Daphnia pulex: one gene and its partner. The protein of the gene in region 1 purifies or fractionates together with the protein of each later gene. This does not show direct contact. Links are inferred from orthologs where the notes say so. Each region holds a gene or a part of one and is shown on either strand. Other genes may lie near its edges.

What was found.
Region 2: the proteins of mediator of RNA polymerase II transcription subunit 19-like (region 1) and DNA-directed RNA polymerase II subunit RPB2 purify together in Homo sapiens (affinity purification with mass spectrometry; 4 studies listed by BioGRID and IntAct, with this or other methods). This does not show direct contact. The link is inferred for Daphnia pulex from reciprocal best matches to the Homo sapiens genes MED19 and POLR2B.

What each region holds. Positions count from the first base shown.
Region 1 is NC_060023.1:10,280,176-10,283,673, reverse strand, and holds mediator of RNA polymerase II transcription subunit 19-like, read right to left. Parts: upstream 2,036-3,498; 5' UTR 1,819-2,035; coding exon 1,614-1,818; intron 1,573-1,613; coding exon 1,301-1,572; intron 1,236-1,300; coding exon 891-1,235; 3' UTR 808-890; downstream 1-807. Other genes in the region: MAP kinase-activating death domain protein-like, read left to right, coding at 339-425; required for excision 1-B domain-containing protein-like, read left to right, coding at 2,777-2,862, 2,929-3,127, 3,189-3,365. UniProt on the Homo sapiens protein: Component of the Mediator complex, a coactivator involved in the regulated transcription of nearly all RNA polymerase II-dependent genes.
Region 2 is NC_060022.1:1,080,884-1,085,469, reverse strand, and holds the start of DNA-directed RNA polymerase II subunit RPB2, read right to left. Parts: upstream 3,061-4,586; 5' UTR 2,910-3,060; coding exon 2,891-2,909; intron 2,827-2,890; coding exon 1,341-2,826; intron 1,270-1,340; coding exon 723-1,269; intron 646-722; coding exon 184-645; intron 121-183; coding exon 1-120. Other genes in the region: kunitz-type protease inhibitor 1-like, read right to left, coding at 3,329-3,630, 3,724-3,781. UniProt on the Homo sapiens protein: Catalytic core component of RNA polymerase II (Pol II), a DNA-dependent RNA polymerase which synthesizes mRNA precursors and many functional non-coding RNAs using the four ribonucleoside triphosphates as substrates.

The DNA of each region.
Region 1 (3,498 bases):
CCTTTTTTTCATTTATTTTTCTGTTTGCCTGATTTTTAACCTTTATACCTGCACGCTACCGTTTAGGCCAACGAGATAGCATTAGCAATCCATCGTGTCTTTTCTGTCCGCGTGTCTATGGCCATTCAACAGTCTTGTTGAGTGGATTAAACTTTCAGTTTGATAAAGACGGTCTGCAATCCACTTATTCTGTTTCTTTGTTGTGATCCGGTCAAAGGCAAGTTTCGTTTTGCTATTTGACCTGCTTTTTATTTATTTATTTTTCTTTTGCTGTGTCTTCTGTTGAATCATTTGTTATTATATTAATCAACCTTTTTTTGTTCTTTTAAACAAAACAGGCGGATCAGATTTGTTACGCTGTTCTCTGCGTGTTTTCTTACGTGGCCGCCGGAAGCGAACAGCGTAAAAAGGTTGAGCCGACTTGAAAGCTCATCATCAATCGACCAAGCAACACACACCGGACATCACTTGATTCGCTTGTTACTTTTAGTTGTTGTACTTAAATGATTACTCGTTCGTTTTGTCGTACGAGTCGTCGCAATAATAATTATCTAGTCATGGTACGGTTCATCAAGAAATTTGAACCAACAGCAGTTGACAAATTTGCGTTCGAACATTCACTGTTAGTATTTGTAATTAATGAATATAAAGTTGTTTTACCCTATTGATCATATCATTTGAGCGATTGTGACTTGCGTGTAGCTATCGTGACGTGCTTATCATTGTTTTCGGGCAAGCCAACGCTATAGCTTTCAAACTCCGATTTAGAAGAAAATATTTGAAAGAATGAATAATAATAAACCAAAATTCACTCATTGAATGGAATTTTATTTATACTCTCGAAAGAAGCAGAAAAAATTCGAAATAAATCGACGTGACAAGAAGGTTTCTCAAAGTAAGGGCATCATTCCAGGTGGGTTACTGTTTGAATTTGTAGTACCGATTGAGGCTGATGCTCCTGGGTGTTCTGGACTGTGCTTCTGTTTCTTTTTCTTCTTCTCCTTCTTCTTCTTCTTGCGATCTTTCTCATCTTCGTGTCGCTTTTGTTTCTTATGCTTTTTTTCGTAGGATTCACCGCCCGAACCGGCTCCTCCCTCTCCTACTACTCCAATGCCCGGTCCAGCGATTCCAGCTCCAGTTTCTTGAATTGAGATCTCGCTACTCTTTTTGTGTTTCTTGTGTTTCTGTTTTTTCTTCAGTGGGGCCAGGGAAGAGGTTTGATACTGCTCAGGCAACTATGAAATAAAGATGTGAAAATTAAAATAACAATTATGTGATTTGCTGTCTAAAAGTCTCTTACTGGTCCTGGATGAAGACGGAATCCTGCAAGTTGAGAGGAATTCAAGAATACCAACTCCTTGCCACCGATTGGAGGTTTTTCAATGATGGATCTTAAGGATGAATTGTCTGTGTTACCAGGAGTATCAATCATGCCGGGTAATCCAGGTAAGAATGAAGATAGCGAATCTTTGAACTTTTTGCCACTGAATTTGTTGTATGAATGTTCCAAATTGTAGTGAGCCATTAAATTTGTTGCTCCGGTTAGGTCAGTATCTCCTGCGATAGATTTACCTTGAGTGAAAGAATGATACAGTCACGTAAAATATGTATACCTGGCAGTTCCTTGTGAAGATAAAATGGTCCGGTATGAACAATTGTTGGGGTCTTTCCAAGTGATATGGTGGTTTTCAGTGTTCCAGTGGAATCTTGTTGCCTGGGAACAACTGGGCTTCGATTTCCTCTTGGAGAAGATCTTGGAGAATTCGGCTCAAATCTCCGAAGAGAATCGGCCACTTGGATGGTGAATGATTCCGACATTTTTTGTCAAAAACTTTTACCCTTTTTACTCGTTAGTATGAGGTCATCGCTTGTAAAATCTCCGTATCCGACTAGACTGACCTTGGTCGAATCCGATATATCGTAGTAATTATAGATATTAATAAATTATTCAGGCAAATGTTGGATGCCAAAAATGACAATTGACAGAGTAAACACAGCAGCGAAAAAGCATAACGAAACACCAGCGCCACCTGTACCCAAAAGATATAACTAGATGCTCCTCTATGCAAATATTTTTGCCCGAGGACTTGAATTGGCCAAGTTGGCGAGAGCACGCTTTCAAAAGTCAAAAAGTCACACGAGGTTTAGACTCAGTGGCAGTTGCTAGGGTAGATAGTTTTGTGTCCGCCTCGTGTGATTTAATGGTGAGTTTAATCACAATTTTTTTCAATTTCCGTCTGGTAATAGTATCAAACTGTTGATGTATATTTTATTATTCATGTTATCAAAAAATATCTATCTAGCCAGAGGTCGAATTCAACTTTCGAATTCGAGTTCGGCGTCCTTCAATAGTCTCAAGAAAAGTCAGAAAACTGGCTGAAGGCAGAGGCTGTTTTTTAAAAAATCCTTATCTCATACTCCCTAGTGTATTGTAGAGGGTTTTTTAAAGGCCAGACTCAGCTTTTCCAACCCAGTAACCCAGCCCTTTTTTTGTCTGTCTCAGAATTGACCCTAGGGGCGTTGATGAAAGGACCGGGTCGTCACCCTTAAAATATAGTCGTCCTCTTTATTCTGGAACCACAAGTCGTGATGTTACGAGGATAGAAAACCTACCTTCGCAACCGTGATAATAAGAACTCTGTTTCTCCAAAGGTAATTATTTGTATAACCTAGGCTTATTTCCTTTTAAATATACAATACAATTCGTATCTTTTCTTTACCTAGATCGTTCATTCCGTTTTGTTCGTTACACGTTAGTAAAATTATAATTCTCAACATGGATGGAGTCACAGCTTATGGCCTTTTGAGGAAATTCCAGCAATTGCAAGAGGAAAGGGTCCACACCTACAAGATTTTTCATGAGTGAGTTACAATGTTATTTAAAAAATTTCACATGAGGTAATTTTTGCATGTATTGTTTCTTTCCAGAGGGCATAAGATTTATCTGAGCACTGGACCAAATTATGACTTTATCCAGTTTCGTACACTTGTTCAAGACATAACTCAAGACTTTAAGCGAATCTCAGAAGAAATAATTAAAATTGAGTGCCAATTGAGAAACATGCAGCCTGAACTGACATTGCATGTTATCAAAGTGCAGGATTATGAGAAAAGGCAGCTGGAACTGGTAAAAAATTATTAAAGATTAAGATTTAAAGATTTATTAAACTTGTTGATTTTCTGTTTAGATGGCTCGATTGCAATTGGCTAAACAAGAGTTGCAAGACATGCAACATATTGAGGATGCTGAAAATGACATTCTCATGCGTGAAGTGCATCACTTGAAGAAAGAATTGGCTGTGGTTCAAGACAAGATCAATCAAAACATGGAAGCTGTTTGTTACCAATTGGCTGATCTGATGTAATTTTTATTTTCATCACTGAAGATTATTCTCTTCCCATATTTGCATTAACCTGTTGACAATCTAAAGAAATACAGCATCATAATGCTTCTAACTAAATGTTGCATTCTTAGTTTTCTATTTAACATATTTAAAT
Region 2 (4,586 bases), on another chromosome or scaffold:
GTCGTCGTTCTCCGGAAGAGTGATCGTTTTGCCAATAACCACGTCATCGCCAGACACACGAAGTCCAGGTGCAATGATGCCGTCGTCGTCTAACTTGTCGTAAATGGCATTTCTCATTCCCTAGACGAAAACAAAATGTGATTACCGAAGAAGTTAAAAAATTCCGGAATTCTGATCGGTTACCTGGCAATGATCGCGGAAAGGCTTCTCGAACGTTTCCTCCTGATCGGCCGATCGTTTAGACTCTTGATCTTTGTAGGATCGGAAAAAGACGGAGCGGAAGAATCCTCGTTCGACGGCGGAAGCGTTTATGATGACGGAATCCTCCTGGTTGTATCCGGTGTAGCTGAGAATGGCAACAATCGAATTGATGCCGGCGGGCAACTCTCTGAAGCGCAGGTACTCCATGGAGCGTGTCGTGACCAAAGGTTTCTGAGGGTACTGCAGGACGTGGGCCAGAGTGTCCATCCGGACGTGGAAGTTAGTAATGTACACTCCCATGGCTTGTTTACCCATGGCGCTTTGGTAAGTGTTACGAGGCGACTGGTTGTGATCGGGAAACGGAATAATCGAGGCGCAAACTCCCAAAATCATGGCCGGATGAATCTCGCAATGCGTGTACGTCGTACAGTAGGCGTCTTTACCCTGGATAAACAAAGCAAAACATTCAACGGCTGGATGGGGTGGGGTAGGGAAAGAAAAAATCAATGCAGAAAATTTACCTGGCGCAAGTCCTCGGGCGACATGGCAATCATGGCCGTCTCCTCCTCCAAAGTGTCAATGTACTCGACTACACCAGTGGCCACCAGTTCCTGCCAGCTGAAATTGATGTACTCGCGCTGTTTGAGCATGTCAACGTGGCGCTTCTTCAGCAACAATTTGCAGTTCTCGACGATCAACAATGGACGACAAATACGGCCGGCGTCCGTGTAAATTCGAATTTCACGGTCCTGGATGTCGCGCACCATCGATACTTCAGACACGATAATGTCCATCTGACGACGCAGTTTGCGCAGGGTGGCCATCAACTGCTCCGGGTCGCGATGGATACCCACCCAGCAACCGTTGACGAAAATCTTGGTGGCATCCGCAATGGCAGACGGAGCGATTTCTTCCAAGTTCTCCATGGACCACTCTTCCAAAAACTCGAGGATGGGCGACGGTTGGGAACCGACTGAAATGTAGGCCATCAAAGCCAAATTCTTGACGAGACCGACAGCAGCTCCTTCGGGCGTTTCGGCTGGACAAACCATTCCCCACAGCGTGTTGCTAAAATAGTTTTAAAAAATGTTATGTAATAAACAAAAGCCGATGAAAATAATTTGAAATCAATGACTTACTGGAGCTGACGAGGTTTGGCCAGTTTACCGTCACGACCAATGGGCGAATTGAGGCGACGCAAATGTGACAAGGTCGAAGCGAAAGTCAATCGGTTCAACACCTGAGAGACACCAGCGCGGGCCTGATGGGCTTTTTTCTGGTCTCCCCAATTTCCTGTGGCCAACGAGTAACGGAGTCCGTCGGTGATGATGCGGGTCTTAATGGCCAGTTCCAAATTGAAATCTTTTCCTCGATCGATGAATTTCTGTGCGTACATTCGGACTTCTTTCATGAGAGTTTTGAAAAGGGCTCGGAAGAGGAAAGCCATCAACGGTCCGGCGAGATCCAGACGTTTGTTGCCGTAGTGATCACGATCGTCCAGCTCACGGCGTCCCAAGGCAGCCAGCAGCAAGCGATGGACCATGTAGCCGAGGAAATAGGCTTTCTTCGTCTCGCAAAAGTCGGACACACCAACGTGAGGCAACATTTCCTTTTGGAGAATCTCACGGGCGTACTTGATACGCTTCTCTTTGGTGACACCAGGCCTGGCACCGCGAGCACCGATGAAATTCAAGGCAACATTCTGCTCCTGGATGACGAAGGCTTCGTCCAGCGAAGGTTTCACCATTTCCATCATTTCGGGGTCTTCAAAGTCGTAGATGATGTGCTCGAGAATATCTCGATCGGCCACGAAACCTAAGGCTCGGAACACAATCATAATGGGAATTTCTTGCTTAATGTAGGGCAGAATGGCAATGATACGCTGGCCGATGGCGGATTTCTTGATGCCCTGACCACCACGTGCCAACATGTTGACGTACAAGGTGGAGGTTGGACGTGACGAGTGTTCCAAGCAGGAACGAATTTCTGTCTTGTAAGCGAATTTGCCGTCCTTCATGCTGAAGACATACACTGTATTTGTGGCCATCTTCTCTTGAGCAATCAATACTTTTTCTGAGCCGTTGATGATAAAATATCCACCAGGATCGAGAGGGCATTCATTCAATTCACACAAATCACGATCATTCATTCCATTCAGCAGGCAATAAGTGGATCTCAACATGATAGGAATTTTGCCAATGAATGTTTTCTGATGCTGTGTCTCGACCTGCTCTTCCCCTTCTTTGTGCACAGTTTTCGTGATATCAACATACAACGGGGCAGAGTAGGTGAGATTTCTTAGTCTTGCTTCATTAGGCATCATGGCTGTCGGAGCACCATCTTTCTCCCAATGTGTAGGTTTCGAGAGGTAAATCTGCTCAAATTTTAGGACATATCTCGGAGGGTTTTCTACTTCCCCCGAAGAATGCTGGGCTTCTGCCTGAAGGTCAATGGCAGGTGAATCTTCAACAATTCTTTGTACAGACATCTGAATAAATTCATCAAACGAATCAAGCTGTTGTCGCACAAGACCTTTTTCATCGAAATATGCGTTGATGACAATCCAACAGGCTTCTTGCCAAAGCTCTGAAGAGATTTCCTCGCCATCTTCATCCTCGATCGGATCTTAAGTAAAAGACACGTTAGAATGAGAAAAAAATGTATGAATATCATCATATTTTGATGTTACCTTCGTCTTGATCGTACATTGTGTTATTATACGAATCGACAAATTAATTATGAATTAGAAAACGACTGCAATGTAAAGATTCGTTGGCCTTTGCAGCCGGCAGTCGACTTTCGTTCACTGTTGTCGCACTTGTCGGAAAAACTCAATTTCGACATCTGCCGGCCAAATCGAAAATGAGACGCAAGGTGGCGTTGCCGGATATATTTTAATTTCGCCGGTTTATTTAAAAGTCGGTAAAAAAATATTTTCTTTAAAACACGAAACAACTCGTATTGTGTGAGTAAATAAGAAGTGTATTCAAAATTAATTTTAACTGAATAATATAGATTACATTGAAAGACAATCCATGTGATCAATGTAAGAACAATTCTTTAAATTACTTTTTAAAATAAAAGAATAACAACGTTGTGCTAGAGAAAAGCATTTTACATCAATTGATTACTTGCCAAGAACGAAATATCTGAATTTCTGCAACGAGGGATATTGCTGGAAGTCCTCAACGCTCTCGTAGCTGTCGAAATTATCTTGATCACAGCGCAATTCGCAAAGGTCTTCGCTGGCGAATAGATTTTCAGATCCTCCACAGCCAGTGTAGAAAATCTTTTCACAATCCCTGGTAGCAGAGTCGTAGTACCACTTGATGGAAAATTGATTGCAACGCACTTTGGGGTTGAGTGGTGGCAAGAGACAAACCGGATCCAATGGTCGTTGAGCAAATACCGGTACTGGGACCGCCAATTCTATTCAAATATATTCATAAATCGTAAAAGAGCATTGCTTGAAAAAGCCCATGTTACATAAAACTAAAATTTTAGATTTAAAAAATCACTTACGAGGAGCAGCAGAGGAGAAAGCGACGAGGCAGAGCATAACGACGAACGTAGCCGACATTTTCCGGTTGAAGTTTATGGAGTTGAATGGAGCAAATGGGAAAAACCTTCTTCTGCTTTCGACTGAAGAAGGAAGGAGTCGACCGGCTGGTACTTATAGTCCCGCTAGAGATAATTACAGCCCTGCAATCGGGCATTATAGCTGGAAAAAACATGAATTTGACCTTTCGCGATGTAACCAAAATAAAAATAACCGCTTAATCATTCACCCCTAAAGGAAGAGAAAAGAGAAAAGCGCGCATCGCAAAAGAATTAAACACACACATATCGATAACCGGTTTGTACAGTTCATCATCTTGATCATTGTCTTCCTTTGAAAAATATATGCACGACATGATTGCACAATTATTTATTTAGCTCCGGGCTCTTTATATCAGAATTTCAAATGTACTTACTTAAACATAAGCTCGGAATTATAGAGAGAATTCGAATTGGCTTCGAATTTTATGTTTTCCGTTTTATTTGTATAATTTATATTGATTTGATTCATTTATTGAATTAAATTAAATTTTAATTGTAAACCAACTTGATTATATTAAAACTGAAAAAATGTATTCTAATCAAACTTCAACTGTATTTATATCGGATTACATGGGAAGTTAACAAAAAAAGATAACTGCGGATTGAGAAAAATGTCAACAATAATAAGTTGGTACAGTATAACCTGGATTGAAATTCAACAAACACATCAAACTGAAAAAAAATTATTGCACGATTGAAACAGAGCATGAAAAAAGATGTGCGTTGCAATTAATCCCAATAGCGCCCGAAGACCTCGATGCTCTCGTGACTGTTCAATTGATCGT